Schizosaccharomyces pombe: one gene and its partners. The protein of the gene in region 1 binds, or shares a complex with, the protein of each later gene. Each region holds a gene or a part of one and is shown on either strand. Other genes may lie near its edges.

Region 1 (8,823 bases):
TTTGAAATGTCCAACATTCATGGTTTGGTCATTCGCAACCGTCGTTTAAAGATAGGTTGGGGTAAGCATAGCGGCCCTCTTCCCTCAAATATCGCTTTAGCCGTTGCTGGTGGTGCTAGTCGTAACATTTATATTGGCAATGCTGATGATTCTTTGACTATTGAACGCTTAAAAGAGGATTTTGAGGAATTTGGCGAAATTGAGTACGTCAACTTTTTCCGCGAAAAGAATTGCGCTTTTGTTAACTTTACGTCGTTGGCAAGTGCGATTAATGCGATTGATCGAATCAAGCAGAAGAAGGGATATGAAAACTATCGAATTAGTTATGGTAAAGATAGGTGTGGTAATCCACCTAGAACTAATTCCAAGTCAGACGTTCTTTCTGTCTCTTCTGATATGAGCATGCCTGTTGATCTCGTTGTTCCTCAGCAAGGAATATCCGGGTTTATGCCAACAAACTCCAATATTTAAATATTGTAGAGTGTTTTGCTCTTAAACGTGTTCGATATTTTTATGGATAAAGGTTTTCCAGCGCTTTGAGTTCATATCAATTTGTGCTCATAAAACACCTTTTATTGACGAACTTTTTTATTGCTTATTTTACAAAATCACTTTCTTTTTTACATTAGATTATTAAGGGTAACCATTTGCATTCGCATTACAAAAGAAAAAGTATTCTTTTGTTTAAATGACCTTACTTGCTATTGTTTCAACATTCCTTCGTTTTACTTTCTCTCGTTTATGCCCCTTACTCAACGTGGCCCATACTCTTTTCTTCTTACTTTGTTTCATTTTTACGCATTATAAAACCTTCATTGTTGAAGTAGCAGTTTTTTTTTGTTTTATTTGGCATTTTTTCTACTATGTTAGAGGTTATCGAGTTTGTATTTCTATCAAAAGCTCGATGTCCTTCGTTTTTGATTCGTTTTTGCAAACAATATTGACGAATCTTTCCACATTTTCAATTACAGTTTTAAAATGTACTTCTGACTTCTATTTTTATTTTTTTTTTCATTCTACATATTCTTATATATTTATGTTTCGATTTTCAACGTTATTTCTTTATCAAAAGTGATTGCTGAAGACTTCAACGGTGTTGATTAATACTTAACAATAGCTTTAATTTGATTGTCTGGTCATATTTAAATGCTAGTTTGTTAATTATGGTTTATTTGTCGCGTTCTAAATGCGTTTTTCAACCCATTATTGTCTACTAGTTCCAAACCGAAATTGTTCTAATGATCTTATGTATATATTTTTGGTCTAGGTAAATATACATCTCTTCTTTTGCTCATCCTACACCGTCGTTGAGAGATTGTACAAAGTTCGGTAATTAATGAATGCAAACATAACAAAACTCTACCGTAGTAATGAGTTTTGAAAAGGCATCAGTATTTGAGTCTCTATTTATATTGTGCGTTTGGTGCTGTAAATGTTTTCCTCATTTATTAGAACAGCTGAACATTGTAGCACAATCTAAAAACAGTTTATTCAGTTTCATTGTATAATGCAACTTAAACAAGTATCTAATTTACACTATTTGTAAAATGAAAGAAAGACAACGCATCTACCACTCTAACTTACGAGATCCATCCATAAACATATCAAGGGTCGCCTCATCAACTTTCGAACGTGCTGCTTGAAAGTCAGAAACGAACTGCTGTAAAAGCTTAATACACTCTCCTTTCATTTCTCCGGTTGAAAGAGTACCAGCCTTATAGGTATTGTACAATTGTTTCAACTTCTCGTCGTCATCTAGGAAAAAAGAAAGATATTGATATGCAACATCAACGTCTGGGTTACCTCCTTTTTCACGGTGGATTTCGATTGTAGCGCCACCTCCAGAGAAAGCATGCCTGTTGATCTTATTTTTAATTTTGTTTGGAGTATCAGTCATGAAAATCGCAGAAGAATCTTTACTGGCACTCATTTTTGATTGTGGTCCTTGGAGAGCTGGGAAAAAGCGACTATGCAAAAGTGCAGGCTTCTTAAATTTCAACCTACCAGAAACATCACGCGTCAAGCGGAAGTAGGGATCCTGGTCGATTGCACAAGGAATCAAACACGGGATATCTTTGGCGCCATTAAAGATATGAGGAAAGGAGCTGCTGAAGCTAGGAGCGGCTTGAATTGACGCAAAATGTATTTTTCCAATAGAGTCACTATCGGTGAAGCCGAAACAAGCCTTGGATTGGTTTGCAGTAATGCATTTCGCAATACGAACGACATTTTGATAAAACGCACCTCCAACATAGGTACTGTTCATGAAAATAAAAGTCTTTTTTGGATCAAACCCAACAGCAATAATATCCTTAGCATTCTCACGAGCAAATCGTTGGCAATCCTCTAAGGAAACACCTTGCTTAAACAAGAACTTCTCATCGTCCGTTAACTGGATGACCAATGGCACTTGAAAAACATCCTGAAGCCACTTGCAAAACATAAAAGGAATCATATGGCCTAAATGCATGCTGTCACTACTTGGTCCTCTACCTGTATACAAATAGAAAGGTTTCTTCTGCTCATAGCGGTCCAAAATCATATCAAAATCACGATGGGAGAAGAAAGCACCTCTACGAAGTAATAAATGAGGCTTCTTTCCAGTTAGCTTTTCGAAGCGCTCAAGTTGTTCAGGAGTAATTTTCCTAGTGCCAAATTGAACGATTAAGCGCTCATAATCGATTCCTTTCTCTTCACCATCGACTATAGAGCCTTTTACATCCCAGGGCGTCACAATTTGTTCCTCAACAGACATTTTTCCTCTTCAAAAAGAAACTGTTCAAGGCGCACTACGTTCGCAGAAAATTTTGTTGCTTGGCGGAGGAAGTGGTAAATCAGACAAAAGCGATGACTAACTTATCGCCAACAAATTCGGTAACTTCATAATTTCTTTAAAAAATTTCTGTTAGTACTGCTGATTCCTTTATAAAAATGTATTCATTATAACTGTTTCTGGGTGCTTAAATTAGTTGAGATAGAGCGTTCGAAAAACTAGCGCAGTTGTAGTGTCTCTAATTAAAGCCGATACGAAAACTTAAATAAGAATTTGAATAAATGTATTACAAAAAATATGATTAAATATAAACTGATATATTAGATTAGTGGGACCGCTGCCATCAATAGTAAAGCTATCATAAACAACTTTTGCAAACTCACAATTCTATTTTTATATATAAACCCATGTCCAGCACAAGTGTTGTTTTTTAGAGACAGAAAAGCTTTTCAAAGTCACTGCATTGCTTCCATTGCTATCTGATCCATATTTTTAGGAACAGTCAAATCTTGAAGGTTTGAGAAAACAAGAGATGATTCATAAAAATTGGTGATTGAGGCTTGAGTCAGAGGGAGAGAGCGACTAGCCAACCCTTTAATGCAAATGGATACACGAGATATATTTAATCTGGTATACCCATCAATCTCATCGTTTTCGTTAGAATATATGGATTCTGAGGCTTCCTCCTCCAATCTGGTAATACTCACTGACGAATGTTGATTTTCATTATGTTTAGAAACCCATACATATCCATTTACACTAAGAATAATGTCGACTCCACCTGCTAGAGCATAAGCATGTGATTTTGATCGAACGACCAACGCAGGAGGAACCTTAAGAAAAACACCATTTCTGAGTTTTCCATATTTTAAAGAACGTGTATGAATTGATACAGAACCATCGGAAAAGTACTGTTGAACTTCCGCAACTAAGAGATCGCCTTCTTGGAAAAAGCTACGCATCTGAAGCTCATCAGTCTCTAGTTTTCGTCTTTGAATGCCACCAGGAAGATTAATAGAAGAGAGCATAAGCACAGCATTCTGTTTGGCACCAATATCCACTTTCCAGCGTTTTGGTTGGACTTCAGCAATTTTCCCAATGATTAAATCACCAATTTCGGGAACGTACTTAGAACGAAGAGGTTTCACGGATATCAATTTATTGACCCTTTGTACAGATCCCGCAACAGATGCATATATTCCTCCATCCTCGAAATACGTTCCATGACCGCGCATAAATTGAGGATCATCAGTCACTAGTTGTCCGGGTGTAACTAAATTTTGATGTATCGATTTATCAAATTCCTCTAAAACGTCTTCTCCGTCTACAAGACCCATCTGTTCATCCTCCATTATTTCATCCTCCATTTCAGTCATGGAAACATCGTTTACGATGTCAGCTTCACTAGAAACATAGAATTCTTCAGGTTTTAAAATTGTAACCATTTTTAAGTATTTCGTTTGAATTCGACAAAAGAAGATACTGGGACAAACCACGACTTAGAATTCTTAGAAACTACAAAACTAATAACTACCCTTTCCACAAATCAAGATTAGTCGGGTTATGTTGGATAATTAGCTATAGCCACTAAATTTAAACCAAATCTGGTCTCCTGTAATGCTTTTACACTAGTGTTTATGCAAAAGTGAAATTTACACTGATTCATAAAGCTAAAGAATTTTAAACCGCTAAAGTAACGCGTTGCTCCTCGTAAAATATCTAAAGGTAAAATGATGATGGGTTAGTAAATTTGAAATATTCGATGGATTAAATAAGAAGCTGGGGAAAAATTATGCAAAAACTATTAATAAGAAGAAAGAATTGTCATTAAAATCAAATTGTATACATTAGTCAACCTTGGTCAGAAGAGGTCTGATGAAAGCTATGAATCAACGAAGAAAAAATGGAAATAATGCTTTATTCTTCAATAATTATCAATATTCAAACTTAATAAACGGCTAAGTTTACAAATTATAAAGCCATTAACACTTTCAACACTTTTTTAAATTTTATTTTATCAGGGCAGATTTACGATACTTCATGAATTGTTAATAGTCAATTAATTTCAACAAAATTTTTAATTAATTATTTTAAATTATCCATGTCAATTCCATCACAATGTCAAGCCAAATTGTATTAAAGCAATATTGCAATGGAATAAATTAATAAAATATCGTTGTCTGAAGATTTCTGTAATAGGTTATTTATTCAATTATTTTATAATTTTTTTTTTTTTTTTTTTTTTTTTACAAATGACTCATGTAAACATTAACAGTCTAATATTACTGTCTACAGATTGTTATATGCATTGACTTCCATTCGTGTTGAGTACTCTAAAATACTCAGCTCCTTAACATTTTTGCAAAGAACAAGTTATGTGGGTCAAGGTATTTAGTTTTTACTTAACTTAAAAGTAATACAATACAAACATTGTAAACATCACGGTTAAAGAACCCAATTAAGCACTATTTCACGTTCATAATAATATAGTTAAATAAAAAATACAGATTTTTTAAATCAAGTTCAATAAAAGATTATTTCGTAAAAAATTTTTTATTTTACTTTGATAGGCTTGAATTAACACATACAGGGAATAATAATGACTAGACGCTGAGCAGATGACTTGCCATCACTCTGTTTACCCCATTTTCTTAAAAACATTGCGTCTTTTTCTTATATTTAAATCATTCTTAAATGGAGTTTCCTGTTTTCTCATGAAACTTACAATTGAATCGAACTTCTTTTAATTATTTACTAAATAGCGCTAGTAATGAAAGTGCAATATTATCTAGCTGCGCATTGTAGTATCTTGTTTGACTTCTGTGAGTTTTCATTGTGATCGGTAATATCATATTATATATAGGTGTGATGTGGGTAGCAATTTGTTGTAAGTATTTATACATGGGTTACGTTGTTACCTGCCATTAATTAACATATAAACGAACCTGTTTCTGTTCAGATGTACTCTGTTTATAATCTTTTGGAGTAAACATGATCAAACACAAACAAGTACTCAAAAGAATAGTTATCAGCAATTATTAGTAAACGAATCTTAAATCTATCCTAACAGATGACATATAGTGATACGCAGCGTAACGTAGTGTAGTCTTGCTTACGAAAATCAAAATATAAGGATAACTAACACACTTTTTAAACAGCGAATGCCAAAAAAGGATGGGAAGCAAGTGCTATTAAATTCCTAAGAAAAAAAAAAGCTTGAAAGTATTATTAGGTGTTTTTATTCAATAGATGTTATAAATGCAATTGAGTAGAATCGATGCTATTTTACGTTACTAACCTTCATTCCAGTCTATTATGTGGTTTTTACTGGTTCTAACTACTAAGATTTAGTGTGTTATAATTATATACAACGAAGTCAAGTCAAGGACAACAATGTTTATACATTCTTCACTATCCCCTTCAAGTACCTTTTTGTAGCTTATTTAATTGTTTTGAGCATTTGGATTGTTAAATTTTAGAAAAAAAGTTTTTGTTAGATTCAGATTTCCATTTATAACGGCCACTCTTTTCGTTTCAAAGAAAATATAAAATCCGGTATCATACACTACTGCGCATTCGTTAAATGTGGTTTATTTTTTTTTATAATACAAATATTACATATATTTAGTGTTTTGGGTGGTTATAAAATGGCTTTTAATCCCCTTTTATCTTTATTGAAAGCAGATGCCATATTCCTCGGGCAACTTTCCAAATCAAGCTTTTGTGCTACTAGTAGAGCTTTCTCTGTTTTCTATTTTACAAGATTTAAGCGAAGTGCTTATGTGTCAGCGCCTTTTGGAATCGAGCCTCATGACGAGAAGGAATTGAAAACAATTGATGATAACGTCCATTCCAATAATCTATCATGGCAGAAAATACAAGAGCACGAGGTCATACGTGAATTGTATAGGAAAGCTGCTTATGAGCTTCCTGGACTTACGCGTAAGTTTACTGGGTAGTTTTACCTTAGGAATTCTATTTCACAATCACTTTAATATGCTTAATGTTCCATTTTCTCTGACAATTATAGCTTACACACAGTCTTTTAAAAAGCCTGCTGATAGCCAGATCTTTAGGTTTGAATCTGATGTCCAAATGTCTTCGTTTGAGAAAATGAATCCGAAGGTCGTTGTTACATTTAAAGTTACGAATATTCCTTTGCTAGAGGAGAAACAACGACATGTATTACGATTATTGGTTGGACCAAGATATAATCCGGAGGAGGATTTAGTCAGAATATCTTCCGACAAGTATTCTTCTGCACTACAAAATAAATATCATCTTATAAAGATATTAACTTCGCTCATTGAAGAATCGAAGAGAAATGCTGAAAAATTTTCACATGTCCCATTGAATACTGGCCATTGGAAATACAAGAAGTGTGATAAACGGATGCCACAGGAATGGCTCGCAGACGCAACTACACTCACTTCTAAAAAGAAAACAACGATTGGCAAGCAATCACATAATACAGTACTTGAACGAGAATCGATAGCAACTACAGATGAATAATATGAAAGGAAAGTTTGTTTAAGTTACTATTAAAATTAACGAGTCTATAATGTAAGCTAATATTGAAGGAATTAATCCTTCTCATTACTATATTAAGATGAAATAAAACTGTAGTATAAAAGGTACTGTTTCTCTAATCATAAATTTCTAACGGAGGGATTTTGTCAATACTACTGAGCCAATTTCTTGCGTTTGATTCGGTAGACATCCATTTTAATGGAAGTTCTACCAACTGTCCCCGAATGCCACGTAGTAAGTCGTAAACTACACGTTTGTCAGGAACTTGTAAACCATTATTAGTACGGGTTTTTGGTTTCTCTGTCTTCGAATCTTCACTTGCACTCGTGTTACCACTACCTTGGGAACCAGCCTTTGGATTTTTTGGATCATTCTCTGACTTTTCATGAGTTTCGTGTAGATTTGACAACTCCTCCTGACGCCAGCGGGCTTGCTCTTCTTTAAAGCGTTTTCCATATTTTTTCCACTCATTATATGATTCCCACGTTAGCATCTCGTCATCCGGTACACATCGAAATATGTGCCGATAAATAGTAGTATTGTTTGAAGCCACTTTAGACCATATGTCTTCAAAAAATTCATCGCAGACGGGGTCCTCAAAGCTTGAAGCGTCAAATTTAGGAATTGTTTCTCCACTAATAGGATTCACCTCAAGCAATGGTATATCATCATAAAACACAAGTCCATTTCCACAGTGTGGACGACTGGGTTCAGGCACTAGATGATCAGGGTCTTTAAGTACCATTGGACGTTGATCCTCCCCACATTGAGAGAACTTGGAAAGTTCATATAATGAGTCCTCCTTTGTTTTCAGTGATAAGGGGATGCCGCCTACTAGGGCGTTGGCTATAACATCAGGCCCTTTTTTAGACTTCTCGTAGTTCTTTTCAAACTCGACCTTGTCCTTTTGAGTTTTAATATTGAATTCAATCGAAGAAGGAATTAAACTGACACGTTGATCTAGTTTCTTCATACTCTTTTCAGCTTTTCGTAAGATGTCTGGAGTAGTGGTAAATTGACTCTGAGAACGATATTTCATTTTCAACTCTTCAGCAGTGTAAGCAGAACCATTAATGGCATTGCCTTCATCAGGAGTCCAGACTTCTACACGTTTCCACTCTGTATCGCGATCCAAGCCATCCATGTTGTATTCTCGTTGTTCAAGCACATCGGTCTCTAAACCTAAGTGCTCCCTCATAAGTCGTTTCCGAAGAGTGTGTGCAAATTTTCCAACTTTATAGGGCTTACCGTCCATCTTGGAGTCAATGGTTAGAGTATCTCTAATTACCGCAGCAATTTCAGAATCGCGGTTACCAAGCAAAGAACGTTCATTAATGTTTGCGGAACCAATGACCGCAACTCGATCGTCTGCAATAAGAATTTTAGCATGAACATAGATCATTTCAGTCACAAGTTCATGGTTTTCTCCCAAATGGGCCCAACCGCGCAAACCATAAAAACGCAAGTACTTGCTGCCATCAATACCCTTGGCATTTAACCTTCCAAATATTGAATGTTCA
Region 2 (8,315 bases), on another chromosome or scaffold:
CACGACGAATTAAATAATTGAAACAAAAGGCGACTGCAGCCCAGGTTGAATAGTTGATTCCTGTGACACTCGGTATCTGAGCAGCGCCGCCTAGGAGGAGAGCTGGATTGACATGTTTCCAAGAGCTTTTAGGAAAACTTATCTGAAGCAAATAAACAACAACTGAAACGACAGCACCTACAAGGAAAAACCACATTACAAATGAATAGCGACCATCTGATGAAAAAATGTGATTCCCAACTAACCCCCAGATAAGATGACTATTGAATTGAGTTTTTGGAGATCGGCAAGTCATGTTATTTTCCGCATTTGAAGTACACACGTCTCTAACGTGATACATGATCCAACCAGTTACTGCGGAATTAACCAGAGATGACCAAATTCCACTTGTAAACAAAAGAGCAGCGACTAACCGTGGGGGGACTTTCATATAATGGCCAATTTTGGCGCTTTGAGTCATATGCATAGCGTGCTGTAATGTCCCAAATCCAAATGAGTAGAAGTAGAGCAATGCCATAGGTTGTCCATTAAACCAGAAAGCCGCCACTATTTCGAAAAAAGCCTGCATACTTATAGTGAAGCTGGAACGAGACTCGATTAATGAAAGCGGTATGTACAAAGCTGCTCCAATAACCATGGAGACCACAAATCCATAAGATCTAATCTGAATATCATGCCATCCTTCTGTAAAAGCGAAGCCTAATCCTAAGGAAACTATTATTGATGCCAAATAAAATCCCCAATGAACACGCTTATATTTCTTTAAAAGTTTAGTGTGAATGTCTGAATATTTAAAAACGTGACAGATTGGCTGAATGACATCGGTAGGAAAACGAAGGAAAAAAGATATCATCATTGAAGAAAATGCGCCTAATGACAAGGCTATGTTTATGATGAAAGCAATAGGAAGCATAACCGGAGAATATTCTTGATACTTTTGAGTTACCAACTCCCATTTCGAATCAACCACTTTTTGAGCATCATAACTTTTCCCCGAAACAGTGTAAATACTGTTAGTCATAATGGGGAAATGCGCAACTTGCCAGTAATTTTGATAGTAAAGCCCTGGAAGTACAATCCAAATCCAAAACACAAAGGATGTAAAAATACAACATGTAGCCCACCAGGGAGTGATCAAAGGATTACTTAAACTGGAAATTTGGGCCCAGTCGAGCGTAAGAGGGAAAAGACCCAGTCCAGTCTTTACCCCAAATATTTGAGATAGAACTGCACTGGAAGGCTTACACCAACTGATCCAAGCACCCAAGGAGCTTAAAGCAGGAAAGATCAGATCAGGAAACCAATACCATATGAAAGAAGCAACAAAAACTATGAAAAAGTAACGAAGCCGAGAGATTGTCCAGTTGCAGGCCTTAGTATTATCATTGTCGTGAAATATCTTGAAAAGTGCGCAGCTACTCAAAACAGAAGGCCAAATCAATGTTGGCGGATACACTAGAATTGGCAAAGCGAGACCTGACCATCCGAATGACGAAAGATAACTACATAAATTGAATAAAATGGCTCTACCAATTCCGATGTTAACTCCAAAAAACTTTATTTGTTCGATAATTAAAGTGTTAACTAGTTTTGCGGAGACACAAATGTTGACGAATATATATAGGCAGGCATGTTCCTTTCGGTTGAATCTCCCTGGATTAAGTGAAACACGTATACCCCTTGGGAGTTTTATTTCCCACTGTGGAATAATATAATACCAGAGCTGACCCAATGGATATGCTACAAGAAGAGCAACGATAGCTGCAATGGAGACCGAAGGATAACGCATCAAAAAGAAAGCATCAACGCCTGCAATAACGGTAGCAAGACCAAATGCCAGTATCCACATCCTGAAAGCTACAAAGAAAGTGAGAAGTTAATATCAAGGTTGAAGGGATAGTAATGGAAATCCTGAATGACAGCTTCTAAAAAAAAAAAAAAAAGGAAAAAGTAGGATTAGCTTTGACTTACTCGATGCGGGTATATCAACATCGTCCGTTACAGGTACAATTGCATCAATGTCCCTGACGGTAATATCGTAAACAGCATTTCCTGGTACTGAGGATTCTCTTTCAGTAATGTCGTCAACAAACTTTTCGTGACCAGCATAATTTATGATTTCAAAAGATTTCTTTTGCTCATCGAATTCATGAAATTTCGAGGCGATAGGGCTCGAGTTTTCTACGATATGGTCTTTGTTGTTTTCAACGCTTTTCGATTCAAGTCCTTTGAAACCACGAGTAACGTAAGTGATAAATTTTGGAGTTTTCATCCTTCAAAAATGAAATTGTTACTTAACCCAGGACCAATTTGATCAAAGTAATCTTTATCAGATCAGCAGCTTTGGAGAAAGAAATAAGACTATATTTATACGATTGATGTGCAAGCTGGAGTAATCGCAAGGGTTTCTAAAGGATACCAACAACGAATAATAAAAACCTGTGCATGAGTTCAAAGTTACGAATTATCTCCACATCTTTTTCATCACGTTTATACTCTGCACAGCGACAAGCCGACTTACGATGGTCTGGAAGTTGCTGCCTAGAAGCCTTCCCAAATTCAAATAGTGAGAATTGATCTGTTAAGATTAGTTGCAGCACGGTTTACTCACCATATGGCTAATTTCGGAACAACATCTTAACTCTCGCCGAATCACAAAGCTAGTAGATATAAAACCATTGCGCTCTTGCATTCCAGTGAAGACAGCGTATTAGAAGACAATCTCAGCCCATCATACAGTTACTGACAAAACGATCCGGAATTATAAGCTTCTCGAACAAATTATCTAAGATGGAATGAGCGACTCCAGATGTACTTTTTTCGGTAAATTTTCGTCATAAAGAGATGTATTTGTAACCAACTTTTATAGAAATCCTAAGCTTAAGATTGAAGAATAATCTGATAAGATAGTCATCTGATATAGTTAAACATCGACTATTTGAGGTAATAAGTATGCTAATGAAAGATGTTTTTGTCGAACTGATTATTGAAACCTATTATCATATGGAAAATAAAACCTTTCAATCCCTTTTTATGGAACTAGCCCAGAATCCATTAAAGTCAGTGTACCTGCGAATTGGATTTAGAATCCTCTATTTGATGTCATGGTAATGGAATATTTTGCAATTATAAGTATTTACAAACAAATATTAGGGATGAAGAGATTAAATTTGATAGTCTCACGCTGGAGTAGCTTAATGAGTCATGACAGCTATATACGGAAAAGACGGGTAGAATAGAAGCTCTCGTGCTTATATGAGAATCTGGAAACAGTTGTCTACTAATTAATTGATATAAAATATATCAGTCTAATGGCCGAAAGTAAAGATTGAGATGATACTTGATGTTTAGAGACAACCTAGTATTTTATAAAACTGTGTATAAAAAGTACATCCAATCCCTTAATGTAAAAACTGAAAGTAGTTTTGAAAAGTTACTGAGAGGTGTACGAATACTAATTTTCATGTCATTAAATACTTCATCCTTAAATCTGTGATCATAAATGTTATTTCAGGATATCACAGCCTCCAATGAAAGGTGCAATCCTCGATATTAAATTACACAAAATAACTTAATACAGTAACCTTCTTAGAAAGTTGTAAACATAACACATATTATTGCTAGAAACTCCTTATTCATGTTTTTGTTAATGAATTAGAGTTTATAAACAACCGACCAATTCAGTTCCATTAAGTAAATAACTTTAAGAAACTTCAGAGCTCCTGTCCGTTCAGTTGAATTACAAAGGTTCTCTATATCTTATAAAACTATACATTTGACTTCTAATTGAAAATGATATCGGTTTCGACAGCAAGTCACCTCAATCATCATTCTAATGAACTTCCAATATTTCTATATTCAATATTATTTTTATCCGTGTTCCGTATATTCGTATCATAAAATCTCTAACAATTTCAGAATTTTTTTTTTGTTAGGAAAGAACGAACCGAGAGGGAAAAAAAACTATCAGGTTATATCAAAACAAAGCAATTTTATCCCCTCATTTTATTCGTCTAATATAGGTTTAGCACATTTACGCATTTCCGTATATCCTGATTTTGTTTGCATATGCTGATAATCCACCGGAAACATTTGCTCTCCTGTTTCACTAGACTGAGCAAAAATCACACCAAGATCATTTCGAGCTGTTGTTAAAAAGTACGAAGAGCCGTCTCCAAGTGAAATTACAAGTGCTCTGACAATATCACCCGGTCGGAATGAATTTTGCACTTTGACTTTATTTTTCTCAGTAGCTCTAATATCCTGCACATGTATTACCCCTTGAAATTCATCTTTGGTGCAGACATCGTCAACGACTGAGATGTTTACAGTTGCTTGACGAGCATTGATCCTGCTGACGCGAGCTAAAACAATAGATCCGACATTAGGTAAAACGGCTGTCTCTTCAACTTTTCTTGGGTACGTTACAGAATTTTTCTCTGGATCAAAGATGCCAGTTCGTGTGGAAATAATATAATCTCCTCTCTTTACCGTTCCTTCACCGTTAGGAGCCCCTCTCGCGACCACCTGTCCAGGGAGAACCAAATTCATATTTAACGGCTTTAATAAACTAAAAATAAAGGAATCAAGTCCGTTTTGTATGGCTGTAAAAAATTAATTGAAAAAAAGTTGCTGTAAGCACAAAGGTCGTTGTAAACTGTAGGTTACAATGTAACCTAAAGTCACTGCTGCAGAAATTTCAGTTTATTTTGCTAAATTGAGAAAATGAAATTGCAAAGGCATTTAATTATCAAACAGTTTTTCTGCTCTTCTTTCAACAAAAATTTTTTCTTGATAATCCCAAAGCTTGGAAAGTAAGTTCACAAAACGATGCCAAAATAAAAAATCACTAAAAAAAAAATATGAGCAGCAAATATAATAAATCATTTTTTTTGTTTAACTCAAATGATCTTTGTAAATTGGACCATGATGCTGAAATATTTCTCAAGGTAGAGAAATTTTCCAGTGTAAACATTAAGCGTGACAGCAAAAATGAAGAATGTTATGCACAGTAAATGATATAAATTGTGATGTTTTTTTCCATATAATAACAAAAATCAATGATAAATATAAAGTCTTTAAACAAGTTGACCACAAATTTCAAAATCAAAGTGCATAAATCAAATTAAGGAAACAAAGGTATGTTAACGTTCCCAAGAATCATTTAAGAAAGATGAAACCCACAAAATAAGAAGAAAAATGAGTTTGTGATCCACAAATTTAACAAGAAACCAAGAATTTTTTAAATTCTGAAAGAACCGATGTCCTCGAACTCGGTATTTTAAACCATTTTTTTAAGTATTTTCGTTCAAGTGTCAACTCTTTGTCATCAGAATTAATCTACAACCTCAGTCATATTTTTTTAAAAAAATAAAGAAAGAATTTTCACTTCTTTCTACGAGCTAATAGCTTCCTGATAAAAGACATGCTGCAAGGTATGAATATATCGTGGAAAGCTTAACAAAATTTGCAAAGGATTCGCCCGCACAAAGAGGAAATATAACAAAAAAATCATTAACCCAAATCCTATGTAGCCTTAAACGTTTGTTCTCATTTGAAGTTTAACGTCCGGTTTTTGTATTAATGCACAACGTCAGGTATTGCTTCACCTCGAATTTTGGTCCATTCTATTTCTGAATCTAATTCCTCATTCACTAATCCAACCATTGCTCTAAAAATAACTATTAGATTATTGATTTACGTACCGCCAGTACAAGGCTCTGCGTCCACTTACACATTTTCTCCACGTAATAAATAAACGCCTAAAGGAATTGTTTCCATGTCTTGATCCATGCTAATAATTCTTTCAAATGAGTCTGAAAGTATAAGATTGGTCGTGTGATCGAATCCCTTCAGGGAACCTAGCACAACGCGACCATCGTTTGTAATGACTTGAACCCTTTCTAACGAACATCTATATTAGTCACTTCATTCTCTATTGAAAATTTGACACTTACGTTCCATAAAATCAGCAAGACTCATGATAAAGTGATTTAAGTATTAGTTGTATTACAGTATGGTAGTGCTAAACAAAAGTAGGTAGTCTTACAGCATGTATTTCAAGTGACATGATACTTTTTATAAAACATACAGCAAAAACAAAAAAATCAAGAATTTTAATAAACTAATCAAATTGAAAACACCTTTTTGTCTTAAAATTTTGAAGCTAACTTTGCTATCAATATAAGAAGTAACCCAATTATATTTTTAGTTTGGAAAGGAACACAATCTTGTGTCAAAAGAAAATTAAAGTAATTTGTGAAGCGCACGATTTTTAAATGATCTTTTGTTTTATTAATCAACGAAATTTATTTTGTAAAATAGATCTATTAAAGGAAAAGGTATTGAACATTATTCCAGCTATATCCGGCTCACGAATCCTTCCTCATCATTACAAGCAACCGTTCTTCTAACTAAAAATACCCGTTGTAAACAAATATACAAATCTTATGGACGTGGGGAATATAGATGTATATATTTGACTACAGTTATATTCTTGAATTACTTCATTTGATAGTTGTTGAGTTTAAATCATTGAAGGATAATTCTTCTTTTGAAGGTTTGCTTAAATAATTTGGAAGAAATAAGTATTTAAGAATTCCGTTTTATAAGAATTTTTTCACAACTTTAGATTGTTATCGATGTGCCTTACTATCTTAGTTTTTGAATGAAAAATTAATGACGGCTCGAATATAAAGGGGACGGTCTTCGCTCTTTATTCAGCAAAGAACGTATGGAATAGAAAGAATTTGTACTAAATGTGTCACCATAAGTGCGAAGCTTTAGGGTTTTTACATTATAAGACAAGTTAGATTTTTGTTTTAAAGGTGGCATTTAGAATATAGACAGATGAAGTTAAAGGGCGCAGCTCGTTTTCCTTGGCACTTTTTTACACTCATCTCAGTACTTGTATTATCTTCTCAAAGCAGCTTGGTAGTACAATTTTCTTGGATATTATCCCTATCTGATAAAATAAAGTTTCGCTAATAATTAAGCGAAGACTTACAACTTTGACGAAGCAGCACACAGAACTAAACCAGTAGATCATAGTGACTATAAAAGCAAATCTACTTAAAGAGGCTGAGAAATTGCCATCGTGAGTTTATTTATTTTCAGCTATATTCTTCAATGTAAATTTAAGTATTTATTGAGAAAAATTTAAGAAAGTTAAGTTGTTCGTTATAACGTACAGCAGCTACGAAAGGATATTTATACTACTGTCTCGCAAATAAACATTCTAGCAACTCATTAACATCATAACTTGTGTTGGAATAGTAGACAACTATGATGAATAAAATAAAATAAAAAGGGCAAGTTAGAAATCAGAAATTTATGCTTAATGTTTCATTTGGATTTTCGTTATTTCCAATGTATTCTGAATATACTCATACTTAAACACATATTGTTATATGTTATATTTGTTACATCAGGGGGATCGATATATCATATACTCCACAGTATAGCTAATTTATTTGTAACCCTTTTTGAAGAAATATTTATTTGGTATTGAGAATTAAATTAAATTTAAAGATTTACTATATCATAGCCTATTTACTCAATCTGTTCAAATGTTGCTTTCGCAAACATATTTTTATCAGTCACAATATAATGAAATACACATTTGATTTAAAACAATTTCAAAAAAAAAAAAAGGATGTTGATTAGAATGAAAGAAAAAAAATAAGATTTATATATTTTCAAAACAAAAAAGGTGTAGATATCAATAATAAGAAGACTTAAAATTCTAATAGATCTCGTAACGATCAGTTATTTTAAATTTATAAAATTAAACCACAGTGTATTGTTTTAGAATATATGAATTTAATACTTTCGCTCAACGATTTCTTGATCGATCAACTAAATATGTAATAATATTAATTAAAAAAAAATAAAAAAAATTTGAGATTTTTTCTTTCCTCTTGCTATGAATCACGAAATTTTCTGTATGAACAGAATAGCAATCAACTGGCTTCTCAGACACTTCATAAAACTCGAAATTGTGTCTTCAGGGTTATCGGAATAAATATTATGATTCATAAGCTCTATTGTTAGCTTAAAATTGAATTTGTTATTAATCTAACATATTTGTAAATGGGTTTATGAAGTATTTGAATTTGAGATCTTATTATTACGAATTTAAAATCCAAAGATAATTAAGAAATTAATCAATGGCTTATAAAGTATAGAAAATTAAAGACTAAATTATCAAAGCATTTTTATTTTTAATTTTTTTTAGCGCTCTCATTTAAGACAAACTTTTACTAATACTCCAATTATGAATGATGGTTATTTTGCATACTTATTAAATGATGTAC
Region 3 (8,546 bases), 2.6 Mb from region 1:
TTCTCAGATTCAGTCATACATTAAATCACATGGTTCCTTGACCCCACATCCAAAAGAAGATGCTTTGTATTCGACGATTCGCGAGGAGTATCAAAAGGCAATTAATATACAGAACGAGAAAGTCCAGTTGGCGGATCGTGCCAGATTGGGACTTACACGGCACATAAAGCGATTGGATGATAGACTTGCAAAGGCCGGTCATGGATTTACAGCTGCGGAATTGTTAAATGCTCCTGACTACTATGCTTCTTCACCGTATGGTGGATACAGTCCAAGTGGTGCCTCAAGTGCTCGTCAAACACCGGCCCCTTCTCGGTCGGGAGCCTCAACAGCTGGTCGCCGTCGTACTTCAGCAACTACCAGGGGTGCAATTCAAAATGGAGTCTATCACTCTCCTTATACGGCTTCGTTGGCAGATTCTGGTTCAACTCGCGGTCAGAAGGTTTCGAATGCCACTGCAACCACCCAGTTAGAAACTAAGGCAGATTCCACAACGCCGAATGAAATGGTCTCAGAAGAAGATATGGAAGAGGATAATGAAAAGTATTGTTTTTGCCAGCAAGGATCATATGGGCAAATGGTCGCTTGTGACAATGCTAATTGTGAGCGTGAATGGTTCCATATGGAGTGTGTTGGTCTTAAAGCTCCTCCTGAAGGTACATGGTATTGCGAAGCTTGTAGGGATCAGAAGCTTGTTGATGCTAAGTAATTTTTCCCCAATCTAAAGTCTGTTGGTCTTCCCATTATTGAATGCAAGCATTGTTGTTTTTTTTTGGGCTTTAATATCCGCTAATTTTTCACCTGTTCCGAACTTACTATATTTGATTATACGTTGTTCAAGCTGTGTATATGTGATTTGCAAAATGGTTAATTTATTAATCATATCTTCACGATTACGAATCCTTTTTATCTTATTCTTGTCCTTGTTTGTTTTTCACTCACATAATAAGTACCAGATTACTTGTACATTAAGAAATTCAGTTCTTTAATTTCCCCAATCCTCCCCAAAGCAGATATTACACGCCGTAGCTAACCACAGTAATAAGTCTTTTGTAACTTTATTATTTGTAATTGCATTTGTTGTCCATTATTTCTACTATATTGGAACTGAACTTATTATTGTACATACAAAGGAACAAGATGCAGCGTCTAGCGTTTTCATATTATCTCGTAACATATAAAAGAACTCTTACGCATTCGGAAAAAAGAAGAGGAAATTTTTTAACCATAGATATCACTAGATAAATTTGATAAAGTGTATAGTACAAAATAAAAAGAACCCCAGATTATAATGGAACACTAAAGTGCCAAAAATTCACAATGAAAAAGCGTATATTAGCTAGTGTCTAATCCATTTACTCAGAACCGCTTTGGTCATCCTCTTCATCACCAGAGATTTCAGCATTTTCCTTTTCAAATTTTTTCATCAAATCGGCAAGCTCCAATTCGTCAGTTTCACTAACCGCCTTGGGTTTCATTTTAACAGTACAGGTACCATTGGATGCTGTAATGGATTTTTCGATTGCACCAATTGCCTCTTCTAGCTTTTTGAGACCCAATGACTTATCTAATGCGTTTGTCAAAAGGACGTAAAGTGGAGGAGCAACAAGTTTAACTTTGATAGGAACCTCCTCGGTATGAACATCTTCAGCAGCCTTCAAAGCGGCCTTGATAGCGTTAATACCTTCGTAGCCAAAGCAAGTGACTTCAACGTCAGCACGAATTTTAATGGGCTGAGGCGTCAGACGACGAGAGATTTGAGCCAACAAATCATTAATAACACCCGATTTGGGAGGTTCTAAACCCTCAAAGACATGATCTGGGTTACTAATAGCAAGCTTAAAGGCGTCATAAGCATGTCCATATTTGCGGTATAATGGCCATCCAATTGTGGTATACATGGTCTCCAAAGGAACATTATGCTTCTCAGCAATATGGCGCATAATGGAATGAACAGCCTTAGATTTGTTGAAGCGTTCTTCGCACTTTACAACATCCTCAGGGCTAACACGGCGCTTTGAAAGATCGATGTATCCTTAATCCTGGTTAGTACATTCCTAACAACTTATAAACCTTTTTTCCCCTTTTGTTTTTCTTTTTTTTAAAAAAAAAAAAAAAAAAAACTACTAATAAATTCTTACCTTTTTCCTTGTCGACACGTAAGACCACGACGACTTCATTACGACCAACGCGAATATGCTTTTGTACTGAACGAATACGACGTCTGGAAAGCTCAGAGAGCAAAACCATTCCTTCAATATTATCGTATTCCAACAATTTTACATAAGCGCCCATCTCCTGGATTTGACGAACTATTGGAAATATTAGCCATTACCGTTTCTTTAGACAGACAACATGTGCATTTTTTACATACCGTTGACAACAACGAGTTCATCCACTTCCGGGAAGCGATTCTCGTACATTCTGCAGCTTGTCGTCGACATTTTTGCAAAGTGTTGAGTGTTTGGTTCTGAGTAAAAATTTGTGTGGACTACCCACTTCTAAACTCTAGGGGCCAATTTTGCTTCTTTTCAGAACCCAGACATTGGTCATTTTAACTTAACTGTTTATCAATAATTATTCTTTATATTTAAAAAGTTTCCTTAAAGAAGATTTATTAGTATCTAAAAGCACATAACGATCGGTGATAACTGGCTTACCAGCCGAACGCTGAATAAACTAGCAGTAAAGTATTTAATAAACTAAAGTGTTTAATAAACTACTAGTTTACTACATCGTTTAGAATTACAGATAATATACTTAAACTTTCTTTTCCCTCAAACGAAAATTACAATTGGAAAGTTTACGAATAGAAGACTCTGTCTAATTGATTCCACTTGTTCCTTTGACTAGAGTAAAGAATTATTTTATTGAAAAGTTGTTAATCCATTGCCTTACAAACCATCCATCACCGTTTTTTGGATTACAAAAAAAAGTGAGAACTCGTATTAATGAAATTCAAAAGGTTATCAATGCCAAACTCAAGAATAGTTGAGGAAATGTGTTTTCAACAGTCTTTGAATATAAACTATTACAAACAAACTTTTTTTTTTCAATGCGCTTCTCGTAGATACATTGAATCAAGAATGCATCTAAACTTAGTAAAGACAACCAGTTGAATATGTCTTTTATATAAATATAAAAGTTCTTTAACACTTGTTCATGAAAATGAACAAGATGTGGTACTAATTTGTGAATTGTATTTCATTTTTTGTCTGTTGTGGGATGTCCTCCATTCCGATTCGTACCTGGTCAATACAAGAATTGCGCTGTAACGAAAGTACTCATCTAGTACCTAGAATGAGAAAAGCCGCTTTAAATTAATTACAAGTATTTTCCAAATATGTTAATATAAAAAGAAGCAAATCATCAACAAAAAAAGATGAGCCTACAGCACCCCGGATTCCCATGTTGTCTCCAACCATAGTACTAACGAGGCCCTCAGACGCTTAACTGCAGTGATCGGACGGGAACTGGTGTTTTCGCCTAGGTATGGCCGTAGACGTTTAAATAGTATATTTATAACATGTATAAGCAATAAGTTTTTGAAGGCAAAGATAGAAAGCATTTAGGGAAACTGATGTATTCAATCAAACTGATAAAATTAAAAACTGTTGAAGGCATATTTCAGTATGCTGTCTAGTAAAAACAATTGAAAACAATAAAACGTACAAAACTTAAATCAGGCCGCGATGAACTGGTATGTATATAATTGCCAGATATTTGCGCAACGGTATTCTTGACAGTGCTATGAAAGCATCAAAAACAGAAAGGGGAAACTTAGTCATGCAGTTTGACGAAGTTTCATTTTTACTTTGGTTGAACGGCACGAGATTCCTCATTTTTAAAACGAAGGTAATATTAACTGTTGATCCTACAGCGATTCTTCCATTTTATTAATCAAGATGTCCTTGAAATCAGCAATCAACTAGTAACGGCAGAATTTGAGTATGTATATTCGATGAATTGTGAGAAACCCTATTTACAAGAATATGCATTAATAAGTATCTTAGTATACTCATTTTGTAGCTTTCAATGCTTATTAGAAAGGCCGATCTGTGATCGAAAAATATAAAAACTGCTCCGGCAGTGACTCGAACACTGGACCTCCTGTTTACGAGACAGGCGCTCTACCACTGAGCTACAAGAGCTACTGTTAGTTTGCACCATTATAGAAATATATAAAATAAAAATACTGTGTTTTTCATATTTTAACATTAACAAATTTAACATTTATCTCGAAAAACAGTTTTACGATTCTCATAATAAACCTTAGGTTTCTTATATCTAAAAATCTAAAAAAATATATATATATATATATATTTTCTTTTTAATCCACATCAATCTGTAATATCTGTTGAATGAAAAATTCCCGGTTGTTTATGAAAGCCTCCCCCAAAAAATAATCAATTTATTATAATAAGTGAGATCTGAATAACCGAATTTATTCATAAAATCTTCAACTAATTAATGAGCCTTTTTTGATGCATAATATCTACAGTACAATCCATATTTTTTGTAATATAAGCCCCTTTAGACAAAAAAGGGACGCAATCATTAAAAGATTATATACGATATTCGAGGTGATTTTTTTGATACTTATACAGAAATACCAAGGATAAGGACAAAAACGTTGTACTAGGAATAAAATGAGTAAAGCTGTATACGTTTTGTCAGAATATCGTAGAGCTAAGTAAAGTTGCAATTGTGATGACTTATCAATGTATAATTATAAAAATTAATCTTCCCGTTCATTTATTTTTAATAGTTTTTTTCCCCAAAATTTTGTCATTAGCTGAGACTTGCAAGTGCCGGTTTAGCGCTTTGTCGAACCGCACTTTGCATCGTGTTATAAATATGTTCTGATCCAGCGATCGCCATATTCATTACTGACTCCAAATAATCCAAATGCATACTAGTTTCCAGCTGCATATATACGACCTTTTTTATGTTCCCCAAAACAGCAACCGTCAACCATGAAAGAGCTGACTCCTCTAGTGAGTTTAAATCCAACAGCATATCAGACTCAACAATCCCAGCTGTACTACAGCAAACGAAATCTTTAACTGGTATACCAGCATCTATTAAGGCAAGAGTAGTAGCGTTGATACAAGATGCCATTACTGCACCATCATCTTGTAAAACATGCAAGTAGACAGAAATTTGACTTCTGGGATATAATTCTGTTTGAATTATCTCCTCAAATGTATTTTGTAAAGCTAAACATTGCAATTGAATTCTCCTATCCGATTTAAATCTCTTTTTCACATCTATTGTGCTGAAAGAAGCAATGTTTATTTCGACATTCACAAATGTTCTGTCAGCTCTAGCTTTGGACTTTATTACAGGCTCCGAGGGTCCATCGACTATACACAAGACCTTTGTGTTACCCAATTCAATAAACGCCGACCCATTCTCCGAAGGCTCGATTCCAATACGACACTGAAAGTTTCTCATCTCATCCCACCGTCGACCATCTTGCAACAAATATTAGCACACAGAAAGATTAATACATTTTATAAGAATCATAGATGTTTGAATGTAAATTTTAAGTTTCTTTTTCATTTCCCATAAATGAATTGGCTTACCATTTCGAAGACCTTCAAGGGATAAAATCTCAAAGTGTGACTATATGGTTAGTACTCGTATTATCTAGAGATAAATTCTATCTCTTACCATATGAAATTTTTTTTTTCGTGATTGAAAGGATTACAAATATATAATTTTTGGTTCCCTTTGAACACTTTTGTAACTGGGAGTGAGTAGAGAGTACACTTGTTACAGTAAAAACTCCTGCTACTGCATTCGCTACGAAACGAATTGGATTTGATGTCTTTGGGGGCACTAATCGATAATGAATTAGATAAATTTATTTCATTTTATTTAAGGATAAAGATTTTTATATCTCGTTTAGTGTGTCGGAAATTTAGTTTACAATATATTATTAATTAAGCGTTCAAAATTATTGAAGCCATAGATTTCTTTTTTTCTTCTTGCATTACCATTAATATTTCCTGTTCATGTTATAAAGAATCAAAAATCGAAATGGGTTTAGGGATTGACATTTTAAAAATTTCAAGAATCTCAAGATTAATTCAACGCTCTCCTGAATGGGAAAAGAACTTTTTAAAAAAATGTCTGTGTGAAAATGAAATTAAAAAGTACAACCTGATTAAAAGCAATTCCTCGCTGCCTCGTTTAAGCGAACAGGCTAAATGGCTTGCTGTTAGGTATGCTTGTCTATATTTATGATCGTTTCATAGTTTTAACGGTTATTTTCCTATGTAGATGGTGCGTCAAAGAAGCTGTTTTCAAAGCTTTACAACCGAATTTTCGAGTTTACATGTCTATGATGGAGTATGTTCGAACTCCCACAGGTGTGTCATTTGTTTTCCATGTTCAATGTTTAAAAATAAAAGGTTTGTAAAGTTACTGACTTTGTTATGATTAATATAGGCTACCCTTCCGTTGTTATTCATGATCCCCGATTTCCGCTTTCTCCCGTAATGGTATCTGTAAGCCATGAGGAAGATTTGGTTGTAGCGAATGCTTTGTATCTACCATCTATGCCAAAGACATAGACGAGAGACCAAATTGAAGGTACTATATTATTTAGTGATTCTATTGCTGCTACTCATTACCAGTCGTCTCAATGACCTTTTTTTATGTTATTGAGTTTATACTAACAGGGAATTATCTGGACAAGTCTACCTTGGAGTAAGGGGATGCAAAAAGAAAAAAAAAATAAATCATTCAATGAATCCTAATTACCAACAAAAAAACAACCGCTGCATAAACTTCAATATATTCATTCATTTTATGAAAGAAATATGGATTGACGTAGAAAAAAAAAACGACTGTTGCAAATTAACTAACCTAACAAAAGCATCATTTGAGAAATATTGTAAATTTCAAAATCAAAAACATATCATAATAATATAGCCATAGCCATATTTTTTACTGCTTGTTAAGAGAAGCGGTAAGTTTGGCTTGCTCAATCAAAACACGAGGAGCATCCAAGACAGGCATATGAACTTCAACGAGCTGAATTACATCAGCTTTTCCAAATTCCTCATCTTTAAAGAGATCGAGGAGCTCCTTTTCTGAATGAATGTTATAGGAGCGAGAATTTTTGGCACCATAGCCTTTAAGAAGGTTTTGATAGTCCCATTCAGTGTTGATGTCGTTGTAAACAGCGTGAAGACCGTGAATGAGACGTTCAATTGTATATCCCTTATTGTTAATTACAAATATGATAGGGGTGAGACCGTTACGGATGGTAGCAGAAATTTCCTGAACAGTTAAATGAAGGGAACCGTCACCAACAATCAATATGGAACGACGGTGAGGAGCATCGGAATCCTTGATGCCCAACGTAGCACCAAACATAGCGCCAACCGACCAACCAATTGAGCCCCATAATACCTGTGAGAGATTTTGGCAGCCTTTGGGGAAAATGCAATCCAAAATACCAAAGTTGGAGGTACCTGTCTCGGTAGTCACTACATCGGACTCACGAAGAAAAGAGGCAAACGTAGGCCAGAACCATTTGTGGGTAATGGTTCCTTCGGCGTAACCCTCAGCAGCAACAGCCTTTGGTGGCTCAAAGTGAACAGGACGGGCCTTTGCCTGAACGGACTTTTTGTCAATGGCAGCGGTGAGCTTGGGCAACAAATGTTTCATCGAAATGCCCTCGTAAACGCCAGAACGAATTTTGGTGTAGTCGGAATGAAATTCGATGGTTTGAGATGCAGGGGTAGCATAAGTAAAGGTGCCCGAGTTGAAATCGGAGCGAAGACCACCGATGATGAGAAGCAAGTCAGTAGATTCGGCACGTTCTTTGATGGAAGGCTCGGTCAAGGAGCCAATGTAGACGCCATCAAAGTAGGGGGATGACTCATTGATCGCAGTCTTACCCATGGGAGTAACGTAAGTGGGGAAATGGGTCGCATCAATAAAGTCTTGGGTTTCCTGTTGAATGTGGAAGCGGGAAACACAAGCGTCAACGAGGATAGAAGGGTTCTTGGATTTTTCGATCAATTCGAGAATCTCAGAAACCACCTCGTGCTCAATCTCCTTGTTGTTTTCGGGAACAGGGAAAACCAATGGAGTCTTCAAGGGAGAAGCATCCGTGTAGAAGTAGCCGGCGTCCGAAGGAACGGCCAGATAAACGGGTCTTGAAGTGCGAACGCACGTTTCCAACAGGTTGTCGATGAGACGACCGGCAGAGTCACCGCTATCCAGGAAGGCGACATCGGCAGACAACTCGGAGGACATACGCTGGAAGACTTTAAAGTCACCATTTCCCAGTGTGTGATGAAGAAGGGGACGAGTGGCTTGAGCCTTGGTGTTGGGAACACCGACAATGTGAACGACAGGAATACGTTCAGAGTATGCGCCGGCGAAACCGTTGAGTGCGGAAAGTTCACCGACGCCAAAAGTGGTGACGATGGCAGAAATGCCCTTAACACGAGCATAAGCATCAGCGGCATAAGCACCGTTTAGCTCGTTTTCATTACCGACCCAGCGAAACGTTTCGTCGCCCA
Region 4 (6,563 bases), 620 kb from region 1:
CGTTCACTAAATGATCCAGCCTTTCGTATCCTTTTAACTAACTGTATATACTGATGAACAAATGGTCCATTTGTCTTCTACACTGCAAACTTGCTTTTCACCGTGGAATACCGGGGCTGCACTAACTAAGATGACTGGTTCCACATGTGCAGACCGGAGCACTTTTCGACAACCTTCTTTTAATTAAGGTTCTTATGGCAGTTCGTAACGATTTAACAATTTCAATAAATAGCCATCGTCCTGTCCCATTGCTTCTTTGGGCATTGGTAGAGTTTGCCCTTTTAAGGCAATCTTTTGCTACATAAAGGTGACTCAAGTTTACGCTGCGATTTTACTACTTTTCTAGCATATGATCTACAAAAGGTCAGCGAAATTTTTCTTTGACTAGGAAAATGGATTGAGGTCATCTTCGGCAAGGCAAGCTGATATTTAATTTAATTGTTCATATCGGCAACATTTCGTAATTAGTTGAAGGGTATGAAAAACGGTTCTACGGTTATCTAGATGTGTTTATTCACTGTTTCAGCATAATATCACTTCCGTTACGTGCGGGGCACTTCGTCATGCAAATTGGTGGTTATATAGTATATATAGAGAGACAAGGCCAGCATTATTAAATCGTCTTCAAGCTCCCTTTTTCCGCTACACTCATAACTTTTACGAAATAGCGAAACGAAAACGAGACATAACGTAACGAAACGAAACGTTTACTAGTATATTCTTGGTTTATTTATTTTGTATTTAAACCAGTTGAAGCATAGTAGCGTATAAAGTGTTAATTTTTTCGCATTGAAGGGAATTTTGATATTAATATTTTGAGATTTTAGAGACACATAGATTTATTTCTTTAATCCTTTACTCACACTTGCACTTCCCCACCACCTAAAACAAGTCATTTTATATTCTTAGATCATAAATTTCGGGAATATTTGATTTAACTATCCAACTTATATTTAATTTTATTTTAAGGCTTTATTCTCTTTTTTTTACCTTTTTCTTATTATTCTAAAATATGGATAAGCACTTTATCAACGATCCTGAAGTCCTCGTCCTTGATGGCCTTAAATCCTTGGCCGACATGAACAAAACTTTAACTGTTCATGAAGAGGGAAAATTCATCTATTTCCATGACTACAACAAAAAGAATGTCAGTGTCATTTCCGGCGGTGGTGCTGGTCATGAACCCACTCATTCTTCGTTCGTGGGCAAGGGTATGCTTACTGCCGCCGTCTCAGGCTCCATTTTTGCTTCTCCTTCGTCAAAGCAAATTTATACCGGTATTAAGCAAGTCGAATCTGAGGCTGGCACCTTGGTAATTTGCAAAAACTACACCGGTGACATCCTTCACTTTGGTATGGCCTTGGAGAAGCAAAGAACGGCTGGTAAGAAGGCTGAACTTATTGCCGTTGCAGATGACGTATCAGTAGGTCGTAAGAAGAGCGGTAAGGTCGGACGTCGTGGTTTGTCTGGTACTGTTCTTGTTCACAAAATCGCTGGTGCAGCTGCCGCCAGAGGGTTACCTTTGGAAGCCGTTACGACCATTGCTAAGGCTGCTATTGACAATTTGGTTAGTATCGGTGCTTCACTCGCTCACGTTCACGTCCCTGGTCATGAGCCAATTGCAAAAGAAGATGAAATGAAACATGATGAAATGGAACTTGGAATGGGTATTCACAATGAACCTGGATGCAAGCGTATTTCCCCTATTCCCTCTATTGATGACCTAATCGCTCAGATGCTTAAGCAAATGTTGGATCAATCCGACAAGGACCGTGCCTATGTAAAGATTGAGGGTGACGATGAAGTAGTCTTACTTATGAATAACCTTGGTGGTCTTTCCATGCTTGAATTCAGTGCCATTAGCCACAAGGTGAAGGAAGCATTGGCTAAAGAATACAAAATCAACCCCGTTCGCATCTTTGCCGGTCCATTTACCACCAGTTTGAATGGCTTGGGTTTCGGTATCACTTTGCTCCGTACCACTGACCGCGTCAAAGTCGAGGGCGAAGAATACTCTTTGGTTGATTTGATTGACCAACCTGTTGAAGCTATCGGATGGCCTTTGTGTCAACCCTCTGACTTGAAGTCCAAAAACAAGATTGGCAATGTCAGCATCGAGGAGGGTCAGAAGGATGTCAAGTCTCCCGTTACTGTCGATAAGGAGAAGGTTCGTCAGGCGATTGTCAATTCGATGGAGAATCTCATCAAAGCAGAGCCTAAAATTACAAAGTTCGATACGATGGCTGGTGATGGTGACTGTGGTACTACTTTGAAGCGTGGTGCTGAAGGTGTTTTGAAGTTTGTTAAATCCGACAAATTCTCTGACGATCCTATTCGTATTGTTCGTGATATCGCAGATGTTATTGAAGACAATATGGATGGTACATCTGGTGCTTTGTACGCCATTTTCTTCCATGGCTTTGCGAAGGGCATGAAAGACACCTTGGAGAAGAGCAAGGACATTTCATCTAAGACATGGGCTGCTGGTTTGAAGGTTGCTCTTGATACTCTTTTCAAGTATACTCCCGCTCGTCCTGGTGACAGCACTATGTGTGATGCTCTTGTTCCATTTGTCGAAACATTTGTTAAAACTAATGATCTTAATGCTGCCGTAGAGGAGGCTCGTAAAGGTGCTGATGCTACTGCAGATATGCAAGCCAAACTTGGACGTGCTGTCTACGTTGGTGATGATGTTAAAGTTCCCGATGCCGGCGCTCTTGGTGTCGTTGCAATTGTCGAAGGATTTACGAAATAATTGGATACGAAATTTTTTTGGGATTGTAGAATTGGTATGATCTTAAAAACTATTTACGAGCACGAATAACAATTATATTTTCATTATGCATGCATTAATTATTGCTTACTTATCTTTGCATCTGTATTTGTATATTCATGCATTATAATAAGTAATTTTTTAATTAAAACAGTTGAGAAAGGACGAGTGTAGATATTGTATGAACACGCTGCTGTAATAAATAAAAGAACGACAGAAATTGTATGGGAATATTAGACACAGGCATTAAAGAAGAAACAATACACTTTATTCAGAAATGGTCCCTCCTAGATAAGGGCAAACCATTTTTGAATTAAACCCAATTGGACAAGAATTGTTAAATAGACTGTGCATATTATTCAAATTTTTTTTTCTGAATCTCGTTAGAGCTTTTTAATAAGGTCTTTACAGTACTTTATTTGCTCTTCATCAGACATGAATTCGCAATTTCTGATAGCTGTACAAATGAGGACCGTAGTAGAAAGATTTTCAGAATTGACCCAAACGCGACCATTCATTCCAACAGCAATTTCGAAAGGAATGTAGCTTCCTAGGGTCTGTAAAAGTGTATTTTTAGGAAGGATCAACTTCCTACAATGAGATAAAGATAAACCTGTTATCATATAACCGTTTTTAAGTTCACCATATCCTGCAGCTTTCCCTGTGGTAGCATCGAAACATTCTAACTCCGGTTCCATATCACGATCAGCGAGTGATACTCGAGCATACACAAGGCTTCCAACATTTAAATTGGGCCTACTTTTACGAGTCACATTTTCAAAAGCCAATGCATTCAATTGAGCAATATGAGCTGACCCAATATCTACTCGATAACCTTCCGCAAATCTAGAAATAATTTGCCCAATAACTTGATCATTTGTAGCAGGAATATATCTTTTTGTCCGTGAGTCTATCAACATAGCATTTTTTCCAGTTTGATGCAACCTCCCAGCTTTTGAGACCACTATTTCTTCTTCACGGTCTTTCTTTTGAAAGACTAAACCAGGACCTAAACGAATTGATCCATCCTGACTAATTATGGAGTCTGGTATCCGCTCACCAGGAAAGTAATAAGATAACAGACCTTTTTCTTCAACTTCAGCCATTTGGTTAACAGAAGAAAATTAGCTATTTGGGGTTTGATTTTTCGCGAGTTATACACTATAATTCGAGGATTAATGTCTTGGACGGTAAGTGTGTCTAAACTAATACTGTAAATCTCGTTAATTTTATAAATCACATTAGCCCAGACTGTGAAAAATAACGCAAACGTACATTGTGCTATAATGCTGTTTACGAGGATTTTCTGTATGTATGTCGTTAATAGGGATATCGAATTTAATCACATCGTAAGCAGACGTAGTTGTATTTGTATCATCTCAGTACGCGCTCTCATCTAACAAATGCACATAGTAAACACATGTTTGGATGACACTTACTCATCATTCCACGTTCATAAAAGGGATAGAGGGTTCTGCTGAAGGAGAGATAGAAGATGTAAGGCAAACTACTGTTTTTGATCCTCCGTTTTACGGACATCCGATGTTGGTTCCACCGTCGCCATCTTTGACTACGATGTTTCGAACGAGGTCTACAACGCCTGATGAAGAGGGAACTGCCATTGCAGAAATTGATCAACAAGATTGGGATATAATGGTAAAAGTTCCTACTTATGAGTATTACGGGTTCGTGATGTATTTGGTGTCAATGTTGGGGTTCGGCGTGTATATTGTTTGGGCTCTGACGCCTGCGCCTGTTCTCAAATTTTTTGAGATTCATTATTATCTATCTCGTTGGTGGGCTCTAGCTATTCCTACTTGGTTATTTGTTCTTGTTATTTACATTCACGTTGTGCTAAACGCTTACAATACCGAAGTATTGACTAAGCCATTTAGCAGCTTAGAATGTATCGTTGATCAATACGCACTCGTTGGTGAAGAAGATGGTGCTGCTCATGGTCGAGTTGTTGATCTTCGCCTATGTGATGTGAATAAACAACAACTGGAAGAAACTTAAAAAAGACTAAAAGCAGCTAAGTGATATCAGAATTCATTTTCTCCTTAAAAATCTTCATTATTTAAGGGACTTATTATCTATTGATGTCGTCGACCCATACAGATTTACTTTTAAATCCTGGTTTCCTTAAGTTTCACAATCAAAAAGTATATGTAAATGTATAATATTATAAGAAGGTTGATTAATGCTCTAGTCCTACTACTCCAACCTGCATACTCAAGATTAGATGTTTTTTATATTCCGCTAATAATATACCTAAGAGTTGTTCGTAAACAAAATGTTTTCAGACAAATAATTAGCTATACGAACAAAACACACCAAAACAAGTAAATGAATAGAAGAGAAGTAAAAACAGTATATCTCTTTTTAATAGTTTGACGAGAGTCGTTATTCCCAGTCATCATCGTCTTCATCATCGTCATCAACTTTTCTATTTGCTTCATCCTTCACCTCAAGAGAACTTTGAGAAGCTTCTATATTACTGGAAGATGATACTTTATTTTCCTCTTCTTCTTTAACTTCTCCATCAACCTCTCCATCATGGCTTGCGGGTTGAGTTTCAATTTGTAAGCCTTTTGAAACTGCTGACTCCAAATCATTGACGGTTTCATCTATCACTTCAGCTGCTGAATTATTCTCAGTAGTATCTTCTTCACTTGATTGCTTTTTTTCATCATTAACCTGTTCATTGTCACTTTCTTCTTCATCACTTCTTTCATCTCCCCAACTAAAAATTTCTTCTTCATCGTTTCCTGATTGAATTGCCTTTATCGGCTGTACAACCTCTTTATGCCAAAAAAATCGTTTCCAAAAATCATCATAAGAAACTTCAGAAGGTACTAAAGATTCCATCTGTTTCCTTAAATCAGGATATTCTTCCAAAAGTAAAGAGATCTCTTCAGTTTTCCCATCAATGGAAATTTCTTTTTCCCAGCTTTCAAACGTGATCCCATGAGAGGGTTCAGAGATAATTTGGGTAAAAGTATTTTCGTTTTGAACAAGTTCCAACAACTGTCTCTCGTGGCGATTTAAGAAAACAGACGAAGAGGCTTCGTGTGTAGGAGTCGATACATCGTCTTCTTTGGGTGATATCTGCAATGCTTGATCCAAAAAACCATTCACTGTAGATCCGAAGCCACTCCAGAAACTTCCTGCTGTTTCTTCTACTTTTCGCAAGTTTTCCATAGCAGAATTAACAGGTATATTTTCTTCAAGCTGTGATTTTAATTGCTGCATTCCACTTGAGGCTTTTCCCTTTGTATCATCAAGAAAGTTTTCACTCTTTGAACGGTTAGTAACAATGCCATTATTCGCAATCAACACACCTTTTCTTTCATTGAGTTCCAAAACAAACCAAACTTTCCATTCGTCAGATTCTGTATAAAATGTCAGTAAATTCCGCGCCGTAAATCATCATAAAGGATAAATTACATTTAGAGCCGAACCCATTTCTTCTTTCAGTTTTTCGTATCCCTCTTCATCATCTTCTTCTGTAGTGGTTGTAGGTGCCATATAATCGTACAAATCCATTTTGAATAGTTTAAAAGAAAACTTATGTACTTAGTTGTTAGAATAAGCTCACATGTGTTTGGTAGCAAACAAGCTATATATGTTGTACTTGGCAGCAAGTGAAGATATTGTATAGCCTACCGAATAGTGACACGATTATGCTCGTATTCTGACTATGGACACTTATACTAACTTAGTATACTTCCAATAATACTTTTTAATGAAAAAGGCATTACACAATCCACTACAGCTTATTTTCGTCCAA

The links.
Region 2: rrp4 (region 1) and csl4 share a complex: the UniProt entries of both Schizosaccharomyces pombe proteins name them as parts of the RNA exosome complex.
Region 3: rrp4 (region 1) and rrp41 share a complex: the UniProt entries of both Schizosaccharomyces pombe proteins name them as parts of the RNA exosome complex.
Region 4: rrp4 (region 1) and rrp40 share a complex: the UniProt entries of both Schizosaccharomyces pombe proteins name them as parts of the RNA exosome complex.

What each region holds. Positions count from the first base shown.
Region 1 is NC_003424.3:557,750-566,572, forward strand, and holds rrp4 (exosome subunit Rrp4), read right to left. Parts: upstream 4,413-8,823; 5' UTR 4,219-4,412; coding exon 3,229-4,218; 3' UTR 3,075-3,228; downstream 1-3,074. Other genes in the region: RNA-binding protein Nrd1, read left to right, coding at 1-471; tryptophan-tRNA ligase Wrs1, read right to left, coding at 1,568-2,755; rsm24 (mitochondrial 37S ribosomal protein mS35), read left to right, coding at 6,421-6,715, 6,804-7,285; phospholipase D Pld1, read right to left, coding at 7,419-8,823. UniProt on the Schizosaccharomyces pombe protein: Non-catalytic component of the RNA exosome complex which has 3'->5' exoribonuclease activity and participates in a multitude of cellular RNA processing and degradation events.
Region 2 is NC_003421.2:2,275,569-2,283,883, reverse strand, and holds csl4 (exosome subunit Csl4), read right to left. Parts: upstream 4,617-8,315; 5' UTR 4,552-4,616; coding exon 4,006-4,551; 3' UTR 3,598-4,005; downstream 1-3,597. Other genes in the region: opt3 (OPT oligopeptide transporter family protein), read right to left, coding at 1-1,857, 1,972-2,272; U6 snRNP-associated protein Lsm8, read right to left, coding at 5,581-5,671, 5,735-5,903, 5,958-5,982. UniProt on the Schizosaccharomyces pombe protein: Non-catalytic component of the RNA exosome complex which has 3'->5' exoribonuclease activity and participates in a multitude of cellular RNA processing and degradation events.
Region 3 is NC_003424.3:3,160,354-3,168,899, reverse strand, and holds rrp41 (exosome 3'-5' phosphorolytic exoribonuclease Rrp41), read right to left. Parts: upstream 5,774-8,546; 5' UTR 5,680-5,773; coding exon 5,677-5,679; exon of another isoform or gene 5,629-5,676; coding exon 5,589-5,628; exon of another isoform or gene 5,478-5,588; coding exon 4,792-5,477; 3' UTR 4,546-4,791; downstream 1-4,545. Other genes in the region: png1 (chromatin modification-related protein), read left to right, coding at 1-709; tif211 (translation initiation factor eIF2 alpha subunit), read right to left, coding at 1,356-2,035, 2,142-2,312, 2,375-2,444; ppt2 (holo-[acyl-carrier-protein] synthase new8), read left to right, coding at 6,046-6,230, 6,289-6,377, 6,457-6,581; pdc201 (pyruvate decarboxylase), read right to left, coding at 6,958-8,546. UniProt on the Schizosaccharomyces pombe protein: Non-catalytic component of the RNA exosome complex which has 3'->5' exoribonuclease activity and participates in a multitude of cellular RNA processing and degradation events.
Region 4 is NC_003424.3:1,176,053-1,182,615, forward strand, and holds rrp40 (exosome subunit Rrp40), read right to left. Parts: upstream 3,889-6,563; 5' UTR 3,880-3,888; coding exon 3,157-3,879; 3' UTR 2,804-3,156; downstream 1-2,803. Other genes in the region: dihydroxyacetone kinase Dak1, read left to right, coding at 1,013-2,755; mug84 (pig-P phosphatidylinositol N-acetylglucosaminyltransferase subunit), read left to right, coding at 4,202-4,789; SPOM_SPAC22A12.14C (BSD domain-containing protein), read right to left, coding at 5,177-6,070, 6,115-6,165, 6,221-6,319. UniProt on the Schizosaccharomyces pombe protein: Non-catalytic component of the RNA exosome complex which has 3'->5' exoribonuclease activity and participates in a multitude of cellular RNA processing and degradation events.